4 linked regions of the Canis lupus familiaris genome follow. The protein of the gene in region 2 interacts with the protein of the main gene of each other region in a biochemical or structural test. Links are inferred from orthologs where the notes say so. Each region holds a gene or a part of one and is shown on either strand. Other genes may lie near its edges.

Region 1 (3,961 bases), about 26 Mb from region 2:
AACTCTAATTCTGGTTGCTCCTCTCTCCACCTCTACAACTGCTGTGTTCCTACGTAGGTGGGTTTATGAGGCTTCTGGATGTCACTTTTAAGACTACACAACCTGAATTTTTAACTGTAAAAAAGAGAAAAAGTAAATTTTGGTAATATCTAACGTAAAATTGATAGTATAAAATGAATAGATATCTAGAGGAAAAAAATGTGTACTCAAAATATTTGGATAATTATGCATTTAAACAAAGTTTAAGCTTTTGTCTTTCCACATTCCATGTCCTGATGACAGTGGGAAGAAGAAGTCCAAAGGGCACTAACATGAAGAAAAGCACAAAATCACTTCATGCTGGGGCATCTGGGTGGTGCAGTCAATTGAGCGTCTGGCTATTAGTTTTGGCTGGGTCATGGTCTCAAGCCCCATATGGGGCTCTGAGCTCTATGTGGAGTCTGCTTGACTCTCTAAAACAGTGGATGAATACATCTTTAAAAAAAGAGAAAAAAAAGTACTGCATACCAAGAAAGTGTCACTACTTCATCTAAGATCCAGTGTGAGGATGTCAAGGAAACACGTTTTTTTTTGTTTTTTTGTTTTTTTTTTTTTTTTTTAGAGAGAGAGAGAAGGAGAAGGAGCAGAGGAAGAGGTTGAGAGAGAATCTTAAGCAGACTCTATACCCAGTACAAAGCCCAACTGGGGGCTTGTTTTCACAACCTAAGCTGAAATCAAGTCAGATCAATCAAATCAAGTCAGACACTTAACTGACTAAGCCACCCAGGTGCCCTGGAAACACTTATTTTTTACAAAGAAAAATTAAGAGACCAAAAAGTTATTTGCACATTTGGGTTTCTAATAGCAAATAAGAAATGAACCATTTAGTCCATGCAGAGATTCATCTTGTGCAGTGTTCCCTTTCTAACAGAGATAACAAGAGAAATTTTCTTGAAGAGTTTTATCACAGATTCTCTTTTAGGAAAGAGGGGGTGGAGTTCAAGCATTTGCCTTAGAGAGACTTGTTTTGAGTCTAGGCTCTGTGACTTTGGACATGTGATGTAGACGGTTAAAGTTCTCAAAACCTCAGCATGTAAATTCTTTCTAAAAATAATTTTGTTGGGACACTTGGGTGGCTCATTGGTTGAGCATCTGCCTTCAGCTCAGGGCATGATCCCGGGTCCTGGGACCGAGTCCACATCGGGCTCCCTGCAGGGAGCCTGCTTCTCCCTCTGACTATGTCTCTGCCTCTCTCTCTCTCTCTCTCTCTCTCTCTTTCTGTGTGTGTGTGTGTCTCTCATGAATAAATAAAATCTTTTAAAAATAATAATAAAGAAAAATTTAAATTTTGTAATTTAAAAAACAATGCATCCTCAGTCATCATTAGGGAAATGCATATTATAGCCATTATGAGATACCACTTCACACTCACTAGGATGACTATAATTTAAGAAATAGAAAATATCAAGTGTTGTTGAGGATGTAGAAAAATTGAGATTCTCATATAGTGCTGGTGGGAATGTAAAATGGTGCAGCAGCTTTGGAAAACAGTCTGGCAGTTCCTCAAAAGGTTAAACATAGAGTTACCATATGACTCCGCAACTCCACTCCAAGAGAATTGAAAGCTTCTGTCCAATCTGAAAACTTGTACAAGAATGTTAATAACAGGGCAGCCCCAGTGGTGCAGCGGTTTAGCGCCGCCTGCAGCCCAGGCGTGATCCTGGAGACCCTGGATCGAGTCCCATGTCAGGCTCTCTGTATGATGCCCGCTTCTCCCTCTGCCTGTGTCTCTGCCTCTCTCTCTCTCTCTCTCTGTCTCTATGAATAAATAAATAAATAAAAATCTTTAAAAAAAGAATGTGGATAACAATATCATTCTTAATACCACAAAAAGTAGAAACAACCTGAGTACCTACTGAATAATGAATGGATAAACAAAATGTGATATATCAATAGAATGAAGTATTATTCAGCAGTAAAATAAAAAAATAAAGGACAGATACTTGCTATAATATGGATGATCTTTGAAAACATCATATAAAGTCATAGAAGCCAATCACCAAAGACCATAAACGGTTTGATTCCTTTAATATAAAATGTCAAGAACAGGCAACTCCTTAGAGACAGAAAGGTGAGTGGTTCCTTAGGCCTGGGGTGTTGAGGAGAAATAGGAAATGACTGCTAATGGGTACAGGGTTTCTTTTGGGATCAGGAAAATGTCCTAAAATTGAAGTGATGTCTGCACATCTCTGTGAATACACTAAAACCCACTGAGTGGTGTTACGTTGAACACGAATTGTATGGTTTGTGAATTATATCTCAATAAAGCCTTTTTTTTTATTATTATTATTTTAAATGGCAGAGACAGAGGCAAGGGAGAAGCAGACTCCATGCAGGGAGCCCGAATGTGGGACTTGATCCGGGACCCTAGTGCCATGCCCTGAGCCAAAGGCAGATGCCCAACCTCTGAGCCACCCAGACGTCCCTCAATAAAGCTTTTACAAAAACAAACATAGAAGCTGCCATAGAAATGTTACACAAAACAGTGTGACACAATCTGGATTTAGACACAAGCCCTAGAACCCGTGGGGGAAATGTGGGACCCTAAAGGAAAATGGGGAGGAGGGCACCCGAGGACGGCCCAGCGCTCCGCCGGACGCGCCCACTCACCGAGGCAAGTCTTGTCTTAGGCCCTGGACAGCTGCCTTCGGCCGGTCGCCGCCCTTCAGTGACCCCTCGCTCCTCCTCCTCCGCGCTGTTCCCAGGGAGAGAGAACCTTCAGGTGGAGGCGGGGGAGCCCGGAACGGAAGCGCCCGCCACCGCCCACCCAGCCACGCACCCCAGCGATGACTTAGCGGTTCTGTCTGGTCCAGCCCAGTCCCGCGCCGGCAGCTATCCAGCCAGGACGCCCTGGAGGGCCGGCTGCCCGCCGCGCGCCACGCCTCAGCCTCCGCGCCGCTCCCCGGCCGGCCTGCGCCGAGCGCGGGGGCGCGAACCCAGGCGCCCGGCTACCCGCCGCCGGGAGCGAGGACCGGGAGGCGCGGCCCCGGAGCGGACTCACCGCGAGCGCGCTCCGGCGCGGCGGCGCGCAGGCAGGAGCCCGGCCACGGTCTCCGAGGGGTCTCGGCCCAGGCTAGCGACAGGACGGCGGAAGGCGTTGGGGCTCTCCCTCCTTTTAATCCGCTATTTTCATTTCTCACCTGCCCAATCAAAACCCGAGGCCACGGGCCGCGTCATCAGTCTCTGGGCGGAACGCCGTGTACCGGGTTAGGAAAGGGTTAGCTTCGTCCTCAGAAGAGAGAGGCGCCAGAATGTTGTTCTTTAGATCAGCTACTCCCCACTCTCAAGAAAAAGTGGTTCTCATTCAATAGAGGCAGTATCGCCTCTCTAAAAGTTTTGAAAATTAACAGGGCTATTTTTGGTTGTTCCAATGATGTGTGGTCACTGGGGGTACTAGGGGCTGAGGGCCAGGGCCCCAGGGCCCCCCCCCCCCATTCTTTCTCTCCCTCCCTCTCTCTCTCTCTCTCATTCAGTGTATGAAAAACCTGCTCATAATCTGGTCTTTACAATCAGATGTAAAAAAGTGTTTTATTTTTCAATTATTTTGTTATTTTTAAAAGATTTTATTTATTGATTCATGAGAGACACGGAGAGGCAGAGACATAGGCAGAGAAAGAAGCAGACTTCCTGCAGGGAGCCCGATGCGGGACTGGATCCCTGGACCCTTGGATCAGAACCTGAGCCAAAGGCAGCGGCTCAACCCCTGAGCCACTAGGTGGCCTTCATTTCTTGATTATGTATTGACTATTTACTATGCCAGGACTGTTAGTTACCAAACCAAACAAAGGCCTGCTCCTTGATGAGTTATAGACAGGGACTACACCAAACGGAGTTGCCTTACAAAGTCAACTTTATTTGTACAAACAAGGCGATCATGGGAAATCATTTCCAAAGGTGTGTCTCCCTGAACAAGGGAAATTTT
Region 2 (4,221 bases):
GAGCTGCTCGCACTCAAAACACCAGAAGTCCGCAGGTTCTTTGCATCGGGTGCAAACAGCTTGCGCGTCCACGATCTGCCTGTAAACCGACAGGCGCCGCTGCAGGCTCTCGAAGAAGACGTTGTCCAGGGCCGGCGAGCCAGCGCCTAGAGGCCCGGGCACCTGGCAGATGGAGCAGCGCAGGCCCGATGCCTCCAGGCATCCCGAGCAGAGCGTGTGCAGACACGGCAGCAGCTTGGGGCACTTGGCTTCGGCCTGGCAGCTCTGGCAGCACAGAAACTGGAACTCCTCCTCCAGGGCTTGCTGGGGGACCAGAGAGGTGGGGTGAGGCCTGAAATCCCGGAGCCCCCCCCCAGATCCTCTGCAGGGAGCACGGCACTACGAGGCCCGGACACCCAAGGATGGGAGCATAAATCCCTACCTTCAAGGGACTCGCTCTAGAAAGGAGATACGTGAAGCGTATCTCATGTAAATCATAAACAGTGCTTAATATGGTTTGGTGGAGGGGCACCTGGGGGCTCAGGGCGTGATCCTGGGGTCCTGGGATCGAGTCCCGCATTGGGCTCCCTGCATGGAGCCTGCTTCTCCCTCTGCCTATGTCTCTGCCTCTCTCTCTGTGTGTGTCTCTCATGAATAAATAAATAAAATCTTAAAAATATATATGGTTTGGTGGCTCCTGAAGAAGTTAAACACAGGAGTACTATATAACCCAGCAATTTCATTCCTAGATAGATTTCCCAAAATAACTGAAGACAAGTAGCTGAACAGATACTTTACACCCATGTCCACAGCACCATCATGCACAGGCTCCAAAAGGTAGAAATAACCCAAGTGTCCATCAACAAATGAACAGATAAACAAAACCGGTCTACGCGTGCAATGGAGTATCATTCAGTTTTTAAAAATGAAGGAAGAGGGACGTCTGGGTGGCTCAGCAGTTGAGCATCTGCCTTTGGCCCAGGGCGTGATCCTGGGGTCCCTGGATCGAGTCCCATATCGGGCTCCCTGCAAGGAGCCTGCTTCTCCCTCTGCCTGCGTCTCTGCCTCTCTCAAATAAATAAAATCTTTAAAAAAATCTTTAAAAAAATATATAAATAAAATAAAATCTTTAAAAAAGAAAATGAAGGAAGGGGCGCCTGGCTGGCTCAGTTGGTGGAGAATGTGACTCTTGATCTTGGGTTTGTGAGTTCAAGCCCCACACTGGGTGTAGAGGTTACTTAAAAATAAGATCTTTACCAAAAATAACATAAAATAAAATGAAAAGGAAGTAAATTCTCATACATGCTATGAGAACCTTGAAAACATTAGGCTAAGCAAAATAAGACAAACACGAAGGGACAAATAATTGGATGGCTCACTTATATGAAATATCTAGCATCGGCAGATCCACAGCAGCAGAAAAGTAGAGTGGAGGTTACCAGGAGCTGGGAGAAGCGGGTAAATAAGGAGCTACTGCTTAGGGAGTACAGTTTCTGTGGAGGGTGATGAAAAAAATTCTGGAAATAGATGGTGGTTGACGGTTACCCAACATTGTGAATATATTCAATGCCACTGAAATGTACACTTAAAAACCGTTAAGTTTTTGGGGCACCTGGCTGGCTCAGTGAGCGCAGCACGAGGCTCTGGATCCTGCGGTTGTTAAGTTCAAGCCCCATGCTGGGCGTAGAGATTACTTAGAAGAAATAAAAATGTTAAAAACATGGTAATTTTAATATTATGGATATTTTCTAGAAAAAAAAAGGGGGAAAAAGTGCTTAATAAAGTACTGGCCCACGAGGAATGTTCACAAGGAAGTAGTACGATTCCTAGTTGTAATAATGCACAGAATAGAAGTTACTGCAGGATGGTGCTTTCATGAAGGGCCTGGGAAAACACACTGCATGAGATGTGAAGTAGCTCCTCTGGGGCAGGAGGGCAGCTGGGGAGCTTGTCCCGAGCAGACCCAGGCAAGCTTCCGGGAAGAGGCCCCAGGAAACCCGGAGCAGACCCAGGCAAGCTTCCGGAAGAGGCCCCAGTACACCCTTTGTGGACCCAGGGTGGGGGTGCGGGGGTGGAGGGCACACAGGGTGTTCCAACAGAAGGATCTTGGAGGTAGGTATCCTAGCGGAGAAGCCACCCCAAGAGCTGTGAGGCCTTAGCCAAGACACTTCTCTCGTCTGGGCCAGGTTCCCACTTCCTGATCTGGGAACTCGGCTTTTGGTTTTCCACACTTGGGACATGCCCCTGGCTCTCGGCCTGCTCCCCAGGGCTACCCCGCCATCCCCCGAATCCCTGGACCTTCATCTGAGGCTCAGGGGGGCAAGTCGCCAGGGTGGGCAGATGAGTCCAGGCCCTCAGCACCTTGCCCCCTGTCCGTGGGGCATGCCAGCCCCGAGGCCCCCCCAGCTCACCCTGGTACCCTTTCCCACTCTCAGCTGCCCCGAGGGTCGGGGCCCAGTGTCTGGCTTTCTCTCTGGGTCACTCTGGGGAGGTGCCTGGCCTCGCTGTCCCCTCCCTTTCCCGAAGCCATCAACCAAGCCTCCACCCCACCTCCCCAAGCCCAGTGGTACCTCCGCGGGGCTGCGGCTGGGGCTGGGCTGGTGGCCCTCGGAGGCGGGCTCCGGGGGAGGCATGCTGGGCGCCCCGGACGGTGCGGGGTCCTGCCCGGGCGCCGGAGAGCGGGGGGGCGCGGGCTCCTGCTGCATGGATCCCAGCACAGTTTCGCTTCTGGGTTTTGAGCCTGAGGGGGGAGGAGAAGCGAAACCGAGAGGCAGGGACCGGATCGCGGTCGCCGGAGCCCGTGGGAGGGACGGCCCCACTCAGGGCCCGCCTCCCCGGAGGAAGTGAGACAGAGCCGGGGGGCGGTTCTAGGGCCGGGGAGGGGGGGTCTGGAGACACGCCCCGAGCCGGAGGGAGGAGGGGAGGAGAGAAGATGCTCAGCCGACCTGGGGGTAACCCGGCCGCGGCCTGGCCTAGCGGGAGGGAGGCCGGGCCGCCCTTGGCTTGACCCCGGGCACAGACAGGAGCCACAGGTGGGCCTGCTTTGGAAGAACCCAGGTCTAAGCGAGAGCAGTCACCCAAACAGGTTTGCACGCTGCAGAGGGGCAGGCCGGAAAGGAGATCTCAGCTGGGACGTGCAGGAACTTGGGGATGGGGAACGCTTGCAACAGCACGAGCAAAGGCATGGAGGTTTGAAACAGGAGAGTCTGTTTAGAAACCAGTTTCCAGGGATGCCCGGGTGGCTCAGCGGTTTAGCGCCTGCCTTCAGCCCGGGGTGTGATCCTGGAGACCCCAGATCGAGTCCCACATCGGGCTCCCTGCATGGAACCTGCTTCTCCCTCTGCCTGTGTTGTGTCTCTGCCCCTCTCTCTGTGTGTGTGTGATGTCTCATGAATAAATAAATAAAATCTTAAAAAGAAACCGGTTTTCATTATTTTCAAATTTAAGAGGGGACCCATGAGCAGGATCAGGGCTAAGGAGATGCACTTGTTCTGTGGGCAACAGCGTGAGATTAGAACCCAGAAACATGACCCAACACGCATGTTGGGACAGTCACTCTGGCAACCTGGGATGGGTGACCTGGTCTAGGACAATGGCTGTGGGATGCAGAGGAGGGATCTGAGTCTGAGACACCAGGAGGACAGTGAGTGGAGCTGAGGGGAACAGGATGATGCCTTGGTTGAGAGTTGGAAAGGTTGGTGAGTCTGAGGCAGCGCAGGCAGGGAGTGGAAGGGGAGAGCCGACGAGCAGGTATGAAGACAGCGAGGAGAGAGCAAGTTAGTTCTTGGCTAAAGGGGAAGCATGCCAGCTCCCAGCTGGTGAGGGTAGGAAGCACAACCTCGGGCAGCTTCACTGGATGAAGGGCCCTGGCTTCAAACACCAAACCACCCCAACCACTGTATTACCCGCTGGGTACAATTCTGTGCTCAGTTCCAGCTTGGAGCGGACTAGGGATGGTGATGGGACCTTGCTCTTGTAAAGTTTATCCTCTGGGCTATGTGGGGAAAGGGATTGGCAGGGAGACCCCACTTCCCAGGACCGTGTGAGGCCTCAGGGGCCCTACCCTTCCCTCCAGCCTGATCAGTACCCTCAGGGCTTCAGAATCAGGCCATCAAACTAGAAAAAGCCAAAGATGGTGAGCAGCATCTGCAGAAGGGACCTGGAAGGGTCACATCAGGGGGTGTGAGGGTCTGAGGAGGCAGGATTGGCATGTGGCTGAGACAAGGAAAGCTTCATTATTTG
Region 3 (4,246 bases), on a different chromosome or scaffold from region 2:
AGGTCGCACCCACCACCTCCCGTGCAGGTGAGGCCGTCGCGCAGGCAGCCCCGACGCATCGGGCTGGGGGAACAGGGCATCTTGCGTCCCCCGCACTCCAGTTGGGGGGGGGGGGCTCGAGTCCCGATCCTGCCCCCTCCTGCCTCAGTTTCCCCCTCTGCACACACTCGCGGACGGTCTGCAACCTGCGGGAGCCCCGATGCGTCGCTGGCAACCGGTGAGGGGAGGCGGCCAGGCCCGGTCAACCGGGAGACGGTCGCGGGCAGGGACGCGAGGAACCGGGGACCGGGCAGAGTCGCCCAGCGGGACGGGCGGGCCCGGCCGGCGCCGACTCCACGCCCGGGGGCCCCGCTCGCCGCCAGGCCGCAGCCCTGGCCCTAGCCGCCCAGCGGCCAGCAGAACAAAAGTGGCTGCCGCGCGGGGCGCGGGGCGTCCCACAGGCGCGGCCGCTGCGCCGCCGGGGCAGCCCCGCCGCCCCACGCACGCCGGCCGCGCCTTCGGCCCCTTCCGCCCGAGCGCGCTCGGCTCTTTCCGCCGCGAACGGCGCAGGTGGAGGGGGCGGGGCGGGGGCCGTGCGTGGTGACGCCGCGGGGGGGGTGACGCACCGGCGTGCCCCGCCCCCTCCCCCTCCCCGTTCAGGCTCTGGAAAGAGAAGAAAAAAAACTTTCTTTTTTTTTTAATTGAGGAATCAACAGCCGCCATCTTGTCGCGGACCCGACCGGGGCTTCGAGCGCGATCTACTCGGCCCCCGCCGGTCCCGGGCCCCACAACCGCCCGCGCACCCCCGCTCCGCCCGGCCGGCCCGCTCCGCCCGGCCCTCGGTGCCCGCTCCGGCGGCCCCGCTCGCCTCTCGGCTCGGCCTCCCGGAGCCGCGGCGGCGGCGGCGGCGGCGGCAGGCGGCGGCGGCGGCGGCGGCGGCGGCGGAACGGGGGGTGGGGGGGGCCGCGGCGGCGGCGGCGGCGGCCCCGCTTCGCGCATTGTTTTTCCTCACGGCGGCGGCGGCGGCGGCGGGCCGCGGGCGGGGAGCGGAGCCCGGAGCCCCCCGGTCGTCGGGCCGCGAGCGAATTAATTAAGTGGGGCGCGGGGGGGGGGGGGGAGCGAGGCGGCGGCGCGGCGGCGGCGGCGGCACCATGTTCCCGGGGACTGCCTGAGCCGCCCGGCCGGGCGCCGTCGCTGCCAGCCGGGCCCGGGGGGGCGGCCGGGCCGCCGGGGCGCCCCCGCCGCGGAGTGTCGCGCTCGGGAGGCGGGCAGGGGATGAGGGGGCCGCGGCCGGCGGCGGCGGCGGCGGCGGCCGGGGGCGGGCGGTGAGCGCTGCGGGGCGCTGTTGCTGTGGCTGAGATTTGGCCGCCGCCTCCCCCACCCGGCCTGCGCCCTCCCTCTCCCTCGGCGCTCGCTCGCGGCTCGCGCTCGCTGCTCTCCCCTCGCAGCCGGCCGGGGCCGGCGCCGACCCCCGCCCCGGAGCTCTTGCCGGCCCGGCCGCCCGCGCTCGGGGCTGTTTCCGCGAGCAGGTGAAAATGGCCGAGAACTTGCTGGACGGACCGCCCAACCCCAAACGAGCCAAACTCAGCTCGCCCGGCTTCTCGGCGAATGACAGCACAGGTGAGGAGGGGGGGCCCGGGCGGGGGGCGGGGGCCCAGCCCGCAGGTTAGCGCCGGGGGGACCCGCCCCGAGGCGCCAGCCCGCGCGGCCGCTGCCCGGGGCCCCGCCGGCCCGGGCCGAGGGGGAAGTTTGTGGCCGGACGGCGCCGGGGCCCCGAGCGGGGGGCCAGCCCCGGAGTTGGGGAGCCCTCCGCGCGCGGAAGGCGAGCGGTACCTGCGGGGAGCACAAGGGGAGCGGAGCGCGCCGGGCTTCGTGGCGGTTCCGCGCGCCTCCCTGTGCGGCCGTGCGTCGGCTCACGCGGGGCTGCCTGGAGGGCTGACAGCGGAGGGTGGGCTTCCCGGTGACGGAGGGGAAAAGTGCAGCGAAGCGGGGGTGGGGGTGGGGGGACGACCCAAAGTCTTTTCTGAGCTGGTAGCACGATTCGCAGCGCTGCGATCCGGATCAGGACACACGCTCCACACACACAGCTCGCTCGTAGCAGCAGCCGACCTGGGAGTTGGGACTTTGGAAGTTTCTTGGGATGCGGTCCTTGGGAAGATGCTTTTCGCAGTTTGTCTTGAAAAAACTCTGGTTGTTGGGTCTACCCAAGGCCGTTCCGTTTGCACCAGCCCCAACTCGGTTAGCAAGATGTCATCCAAGTTGCTGTGCTGTGTTTAACTTCAGAGGCATGACCTTAAAAGAAAGTTTAGGTACAGCAGATCCTTTCGGGCTACATCCTCCGGCTTGAGTTGGTGGGGCTTTTACACTGTGGGTGTATTAAAGAAAATTATGTTAAGGAATGTAGGAATCGCAGGTCCCACCCACCACCACCACCCCCTCCAAAAAAAAATTTTTTTTTTTTTTTAGCCAGGTATTAAATGAAGCGTTCTTTCAAACAGCATCCATGAAAACTTTGTGAAGTAATCCCATCAGTTGCCTAAGTATTTTAGTTTCTATTCGTTTAATAACTCTGGGCTCTTCTGAGCTGGTTCACGGTAGCATTATGATCGAGTTGTATTTCCTCTTTCAGACCTCTCCTTTGCAGTAAAAACTTGTGCACCGCTGCGAACAGTTCTGTCTCCAGCGCAGCCTGCATTTCTCCAGTACGGTCTTGGTAGTAGCAGCATCTGAAAATCAGTTTATAATGAATGGGTCCAAATTGAATTATATTGCTGCAGCGATGCCTTCAGATTTGCAGTAGACACAGCTGTTCAGCTTGTGCAAATATTTCTGTGGCCACTGGCATATTTCTACTAATGGTCTAAAAAAATCTGTTTCTCCTGTTGAAACAAAACTACTTGGGTTTTGTGGCTTCGGTTTTAATACAATTTCAAGGATAGTAATGTAGGTGTGAGAGAAAGGATATTTTAAAATATCATGAGATTCTTATCTAGTTTAAATACAATTTGTTAAACGGTGGGGGGGGAGTAAATAAGTCTCATGGGGCAAAAAGTCACTAATACTTTTTTGTAATTGATAGAGTGGAGTGTGATGTTTATTTTGTCAAATCAGCTTGTCTGAAGTAAGAAATGTGGAAACAGCCATGACTTAGATGCCCTTTTACTATAGAACAGATCTCTTTTGCTTCATTAATCTTGCTATGTTTGAGTGAAAAGTCTTTAATCATATGAAACATAGATCATACCAGGCAAGTTCAGCTTTGAAGTTTGTCTTCTGAAACTGGTAACTTTTTGAATGGCTTTGCAGCTTTGCTCTTGTCAAATGAGGCTATTGCAGATTGTGTTTTCTATAGAGGGATAAATTACTAACACAAGACTTAACAGAAAGGGTTTTCCGAATATATACATTCAGCTGTTAACAAGGTGGAGCCTAGAGAATGGCCTTTTTGGGTAGTTCTGTTAATGGATGGTCAGATATTTACTTGATGCGCTGCTAAATCACAACAAATTTTTTCGGAAAGGATTTTTCCCTCTTGGCTACTTTTTCTCCCCTTTCTTTTCCAACGTTGATCCTCCTAAAGCATGAGGGCTCACTCTTTTCCAAATGGGGAACACAAATTTTTAATAGCTCTGATTTAAATAATAAAATTCATGATTATACTTATGTCAAGTCACCTTGGTTACGTTTTCATCACGTCACATTATTGGCCAGAGTCTATCAGTGCGGGGGCCAAGGAAGGATCGTCATCGAGCAAATTAAAGGAGGTACAACCTTGTCTTCTGTAACCAGTAGTCTGAGACAGAGATCCTAAGGATATATATTGAACAAATAAAGGACTCTAGGAATCACATTACGTCCAATCAAAGGAGTGAAGGCATTGGGGTAGGTGGGAAAGTAGGGAGAGACTCAACCTCGTTTAAGTGAGGGGATGTGTTTTTGAGGCTCCTGGAAGAAAAATGGAGCCAGGTGGAGCAAAGCGCGTTTTCTTTTTCCGTGATAATAGAATTTGAAGGGAGTTCTGTACATGGGAAGAGCTGAGAGGTTAGGAGGAGCAGGAGGCAGCCTGGTGGCCTGAGAAACGAGGGATTTGGACTGCTACCATGCAGCACATGTCTGTAGGGACTGGCCTGGGGAGCCATCGTGTCCGTTGCGTGAGTCTAAGGGACTGACATTGGGTGGAGAGAATAGTACTCCTGACATTGGGTAGCTAGCTCACAAGCCAGGGTGCTCCCCGCAGGGCACTTGCAGTCTAGTAAGGGGAGCGTGT
Region 4 (3,981 bases), on a different chromosome or scaffold from region 2:
GTCACTGCAGCTCAGGAGATGGCAGGGGTAGGGGTTGGGAGGGGAGGCAGCACAGAGCCACAACAGGGTCCCCGTGGATGGGGGGACACGACCTGTGGCTCAGATCTCTCAGGAAAGGGGGCGTGAGGTTATCCACCGAGACTCACAGGCTGAGGATGGGTAAAGGGGTCAGCTATGGGGACAGGTGACCAGTCAGCTGGGCCCACGTGACGTAGCCCATTTTGCAGCGTTTCTCTGTGGCCTAGAGGGAAGGGTGGAGAAAGCACACCTACGATCAGAGTGTCAGGGCACAGGGGCTCAGGCACATGAGTCTTGGGACTCTGGTTTTATGGCTATGTGGCAATCTCTTAAATGCGTGCCAGTGCTATCTTCTCACGGGAGTTTTAGGATGTTTCCTGCTAACCTCCACAATCACTGGACTGCTCGACATCCCCTCAAGCACAGCCCATCAATGTCTCCCCAGAACAGACTCTTCTGCTTCCCATTTCTCTCCACTCCTCACGCACTGACCACGAGCTGGCCAGTGAGGAAAGCACTCCGGCCGCGTCACTGCGGTCCACTGTCCCAGCAACCCTGAGGCTGGTGACCGGACTTCCCCAGCTTATGGGTGAGGAAGTGAAGGCACAGAGAAACAAGGCAACAAGGCTACACCACACAGCTTACTGAGTGTGGGGATTCAGGCCAGCCTTGGGTCTCTCGGACTCTAAAGCCAGTGTTCTCTCATCTGGGTCCCCACAGAGCTGCTGCTCCCAACCCCAGCTGCGCACTGGGATCCCCAGAAAAGCTGTTAGAAAGCACCCATGCAGGACCCCACACCCAGAAGGGCTGATTCAGTTTGTGGGGATTAGGACCCAAGCCAGGTTAGTTTTCAACACCATCCCTCACCCCACCCCATCCCCCATCCGACGCACAGCCGAGATGGGGAACCAGTCCACTGGAGACTCCAGGATGGTGAGGGCCTGGCCGGGGCTGTTGTGCCGCATGCTGGTGCCCAGCACATGCTGGAGTTCTTGCTGAGTGAGTGAGGAGCGTAAGTTTTGCACTCCCTGCCTGGGCGGCCACAGGCCTCCCTCTGTCCTGACCAAATCCAAATCGGGAGCTCTCTACTGCAGGCGGGGGCTGACTGGCCTCTGGGCCTCTGCTCGCCCTCCTGCCTCCCCAGGGACATAAAAGCCATCTTCCCAGCATCACTTTCACCCTGCTACCTGTTCTGGCACCTCAGTGCGTGCTCCATGGTTGCAACCCCTTAGTGTGATATTTAAGATCCCCCCGACACCCTGCTCCAAGCTACTCTTTCAATCCTATCAGCCACTACCCACAGATTCCCTGCTGTGGCCTAATGGGGGGCAGGTGTCCTCCTTGTCTTCCATGAGAGTCTTGGGTGTTCCTACAGCAGTGATTTCAGTAATGCATGCCCCTCTGGCCCAGCCTGCCCAGGTCTGGATCCTCCCTATGTGTCGGGGGACCTAACCCCCCCTGCCAAGCCCTGCACCCTGGCCTCTAGGCATCCCTTTGGACTCTGAACATCTATGCCAAGGAGCACACTGGCTTCCTTCTTACGTGGCTTCTAACCATCATTTCCATATACATGTCCTAATTGTCTGACTAAATGATGATGCCTTGAGGGCAATCCTGGAGAAGTGTCATTCACATCCCCCCTACCCCCCAGCAACCACCACGCAGCGCCAGTGGGCCCTCGGCATCTCCTGTCCCTGAGCAAGCGCTCTTACCTGTAGTATCTGGACTGCAGGTAGGTGGAACACACAGCCTTGGACACATGACTGGCCGAACCGAAGTCGATGACCTTTACTCTGTAGGGCTGTCGGGAAGGATCTACCAGCATGATGTTTTCTGGTTTGAGGTCGGCATGGATGAGACCTAGGCTCTTCAGTTTCATCAGGGCTGTGGCTACCTGCTGGAGGACTGGGCGAATGTATTTGAGGGGCAAGGGGCTAAACTTGTTCTGCTTCAGAAAGTCATAGAGGTTCTGCTCCAACATCTCAAAGACCAAGCACGTGTGGTTCTTGTGCTGGAAGCATTCATAGGCGCGGACAAAGTTGTAGTCGTCGGCGCTCTCCGTGCTCAAGCGGGCCAGGATGCTCACCTCGATCTGACCTTGCCGGGCATATGACGGGTGGTTCTTCAGGATCTTGATGGCCACGATTTCGTTGGTGCCCCGTTTCCAGCACTTGACCACTTGCCCAAACGTCCCTCGGCCCAGGAATTCTAAAACTTCGTAAGTGTTGGTCATGGAGCACAGCACCTCATGCTGAACCAGCTGGTAATCACCTTCGCTGTTAGAGCCACTGTTTTTGGAGGTGGCAGTCGATGTGGTGGCAGTGGCTACGGTGGCCCCACTTGCATTATTCTGAATCATGGGTGGATGCTCTTCAATGATCTGCACGCTGCTTGTGTTCTCAATCTCCTCACTCTTACGCTTGAGTCCACATTTTTGGTAGGTATCAAGAAGGCTCACAGTGCTTCGACGCATTAGGTTATGTGGTCCGCCGAGGACTTGCCCAGTGACAGAAGTGCTACTTGCTGATGTTACAACTATGTGCCCGGTGCTTCCTGGGAAGATGATGGTCTGCTCGTAAGGTAGGCTTGGGTTTGGGATCGGCAAGGAGGTGCTGACGGTTGTGGTGGCTGGCTGAGAAGGTGGTACGTTCTTGCTCTGGCTATACACTTTGCTGTGGGAGCCGTACCCAGTCATGTCCCAGGTGGAACTCGGCTCTACTTTCAGTTTCTTCACACTACAGAAGGCACTTGATTGAAGGGTGTGAGGGGAGAAGACTTGCACATGTGAGGCCATACCTACAAGAAAAAGAAAGGGAAAAATCAATATTTTAGTCACCATTGAATGAATGGATTCAGCGATTTGTCTCAGTTCTGGCCAATGGCTTGGGTCCTACAGAATACTTTCACTCTACTTCAAAGCAAGGTTGGGAAAGAGAATCTATTCCCCCTCTCCGCCAAGCTCATTCTGGCCACTCAAGTTTGGGTGGGGCCAAGGAGTTCTGGTGTTCAGCCTTGCCACAATTAGGGGGATGGGGGAATTGTGGAATCACTCAGGAATACAATCAAGATTCAGATACAGAATTAGAGTATCAGGACTTTGTTCATTACTTATCTTTTTATAAATATTGTTCATGATAGAAACAGATTCTTCCTCAATTCTCACTGGGCTGCAATCCTACTAAAACCAACTGTATTAGGTGACCCAGGTAACTGTTATATCCGAAGTTGTCCCGCATGGTCTACTACGCCTTGTCACACACCCTGTCAGGTTAGCTCATTTGAAGAAACATCTTCCCACATAGGTCTAATCATGGAGCCACTCAAGATGTGCTAGCTTCTGGATGAACCATAAGTACCCCCTGGGATCTTAGATATCTTAAATGAATTCTGTAGAGCTGAGTAGATCAGCAGTCGGTCTGATATTTTTTTTTTTTTAATTTTTTTTTGGTCTGATATTTTCATTTAGGTGGCCTAAACAAAACATCTGATCATTTATTTTATATGTTTTATAACATTAAAATATTTATTTATTTTGGGGGAGGAGTAAGTAGCACCATTCACGGGCACTCACTAACTTTTCCTGCTAAATTCATCTATTAATATGTTTATCTAGAAAGTACTGTTATTTCATACCAACACCTCAGCCACAATTGAGATAACCTCAGAAATCTATAAAACCATAACTCTGGAATAGTTGTATGATTTACAATTATGGTGATTCTAGAAACAACAACAACAAAAAAGTCAAGAAAACTACCAAGAAAAAATAAGACAATGAGGAAGGTAAGTTCTTAGAGATGAAAGTAAAGACAAACACTGCTCATCATCTAACTGCAGCTGATAAACATTTCTCATAGAAGCACAAGGACAGCTGGGTTTCCGTCAAGCACCACTACTATCTAGCCACCCTTATGTTCATGTCTCTGACTCCTTCGCATTAGCTGGAGTGGTCATTGAACATTT

The links. The genes of interacting proteins can lie anywhere in the genome.
Region 1: of the proteins of PML (region 2) and RNF4, one has a biochemical effect on the other in vitro, tested with the Homo sapiens proteins (3 studies listed by BioGRID, with this or other methods). The link is inferred for Canis lupus familiaris from reciprocal best matches to the Homo sapiens genes PML and RNF4.
Region 3: the proteins of PML (region 2) and CREBBP form a complex in vitro, tested with the Homo sapiens proteins (2 studies listed by BioGRID). The link is inferred for Canis lupus familiaris from reciprocal best matches to the Homo sapiens genes PML and CREBBP.
Region 4: of the proteins of PML (region 2) and HIPK2, one has a biochemical effect on the other in vitro, tested with the Homo sapiens proteins (2 studies listed by BioGRID). The link is inferred for Canis lupus familiaris from reciprocal best matches to the Homo sapiens genes PML and HIPK2.

The regions. Positions count from the first base shown.
Region 1 is NC_049251.1:11,636,698-11,640,658, reverse strand, and holds the start of RNF4 (E3 ubiquitin-protein ligase RNF4), read right to left. Parts: upstream 2,813-3,961; 5' UTR 2,650-2,812; intron 115-2,649; 5' UTR 1-114. UniProt on the Homo sapiens protein: E3 ubiquitin-protein ligase which binds polysumoylated chains covalently attached to proteins and mediates 'Lys-6'-, 'Lys-11'-, 'Lys-48'- and 'Lys-63'-linked polyubiquitination of those substrates and their subsequent targeting to the proteasome for degradation.
Region 2 is NC_049251.1:37,672,045-37,676,265, reverse strand, and holds the start of PML (protein PML), read right to left. Parts: upstream 2,805-4,221; 5' UTR 2,685-2,804; coding exon 2,550-2,684; intron 304-2,549; coding exon 1-303.
Region 3 is NC_049227.1:37,710,937-37,715,182, forward strand, and holds the start of CREBBP (CREB-binding protein), read left to right. Parts: upstream 1-1,434; 5' UTR 1,435-1,514; coding exon 1,515-1,599; intron 1,600-4,246. UniProt on the Homo sapiens protein: Acetylates histones, giving a specific tag for transcriptional activation. Mediates acetylation of histone H3 at 'Lys-18' and 'Lys-27' (H3K18ac and H3K27ac, respectively).
Region 4 is NC_049237.1:8,903,732-8,907,712, reverse strand, and holds the start of HIPK2 (homeodomain-interacting protein kinase 2), read right to left. Parts: upstream 2,813-3,981; coding exon 1,731-2,812; intron 1-1,730.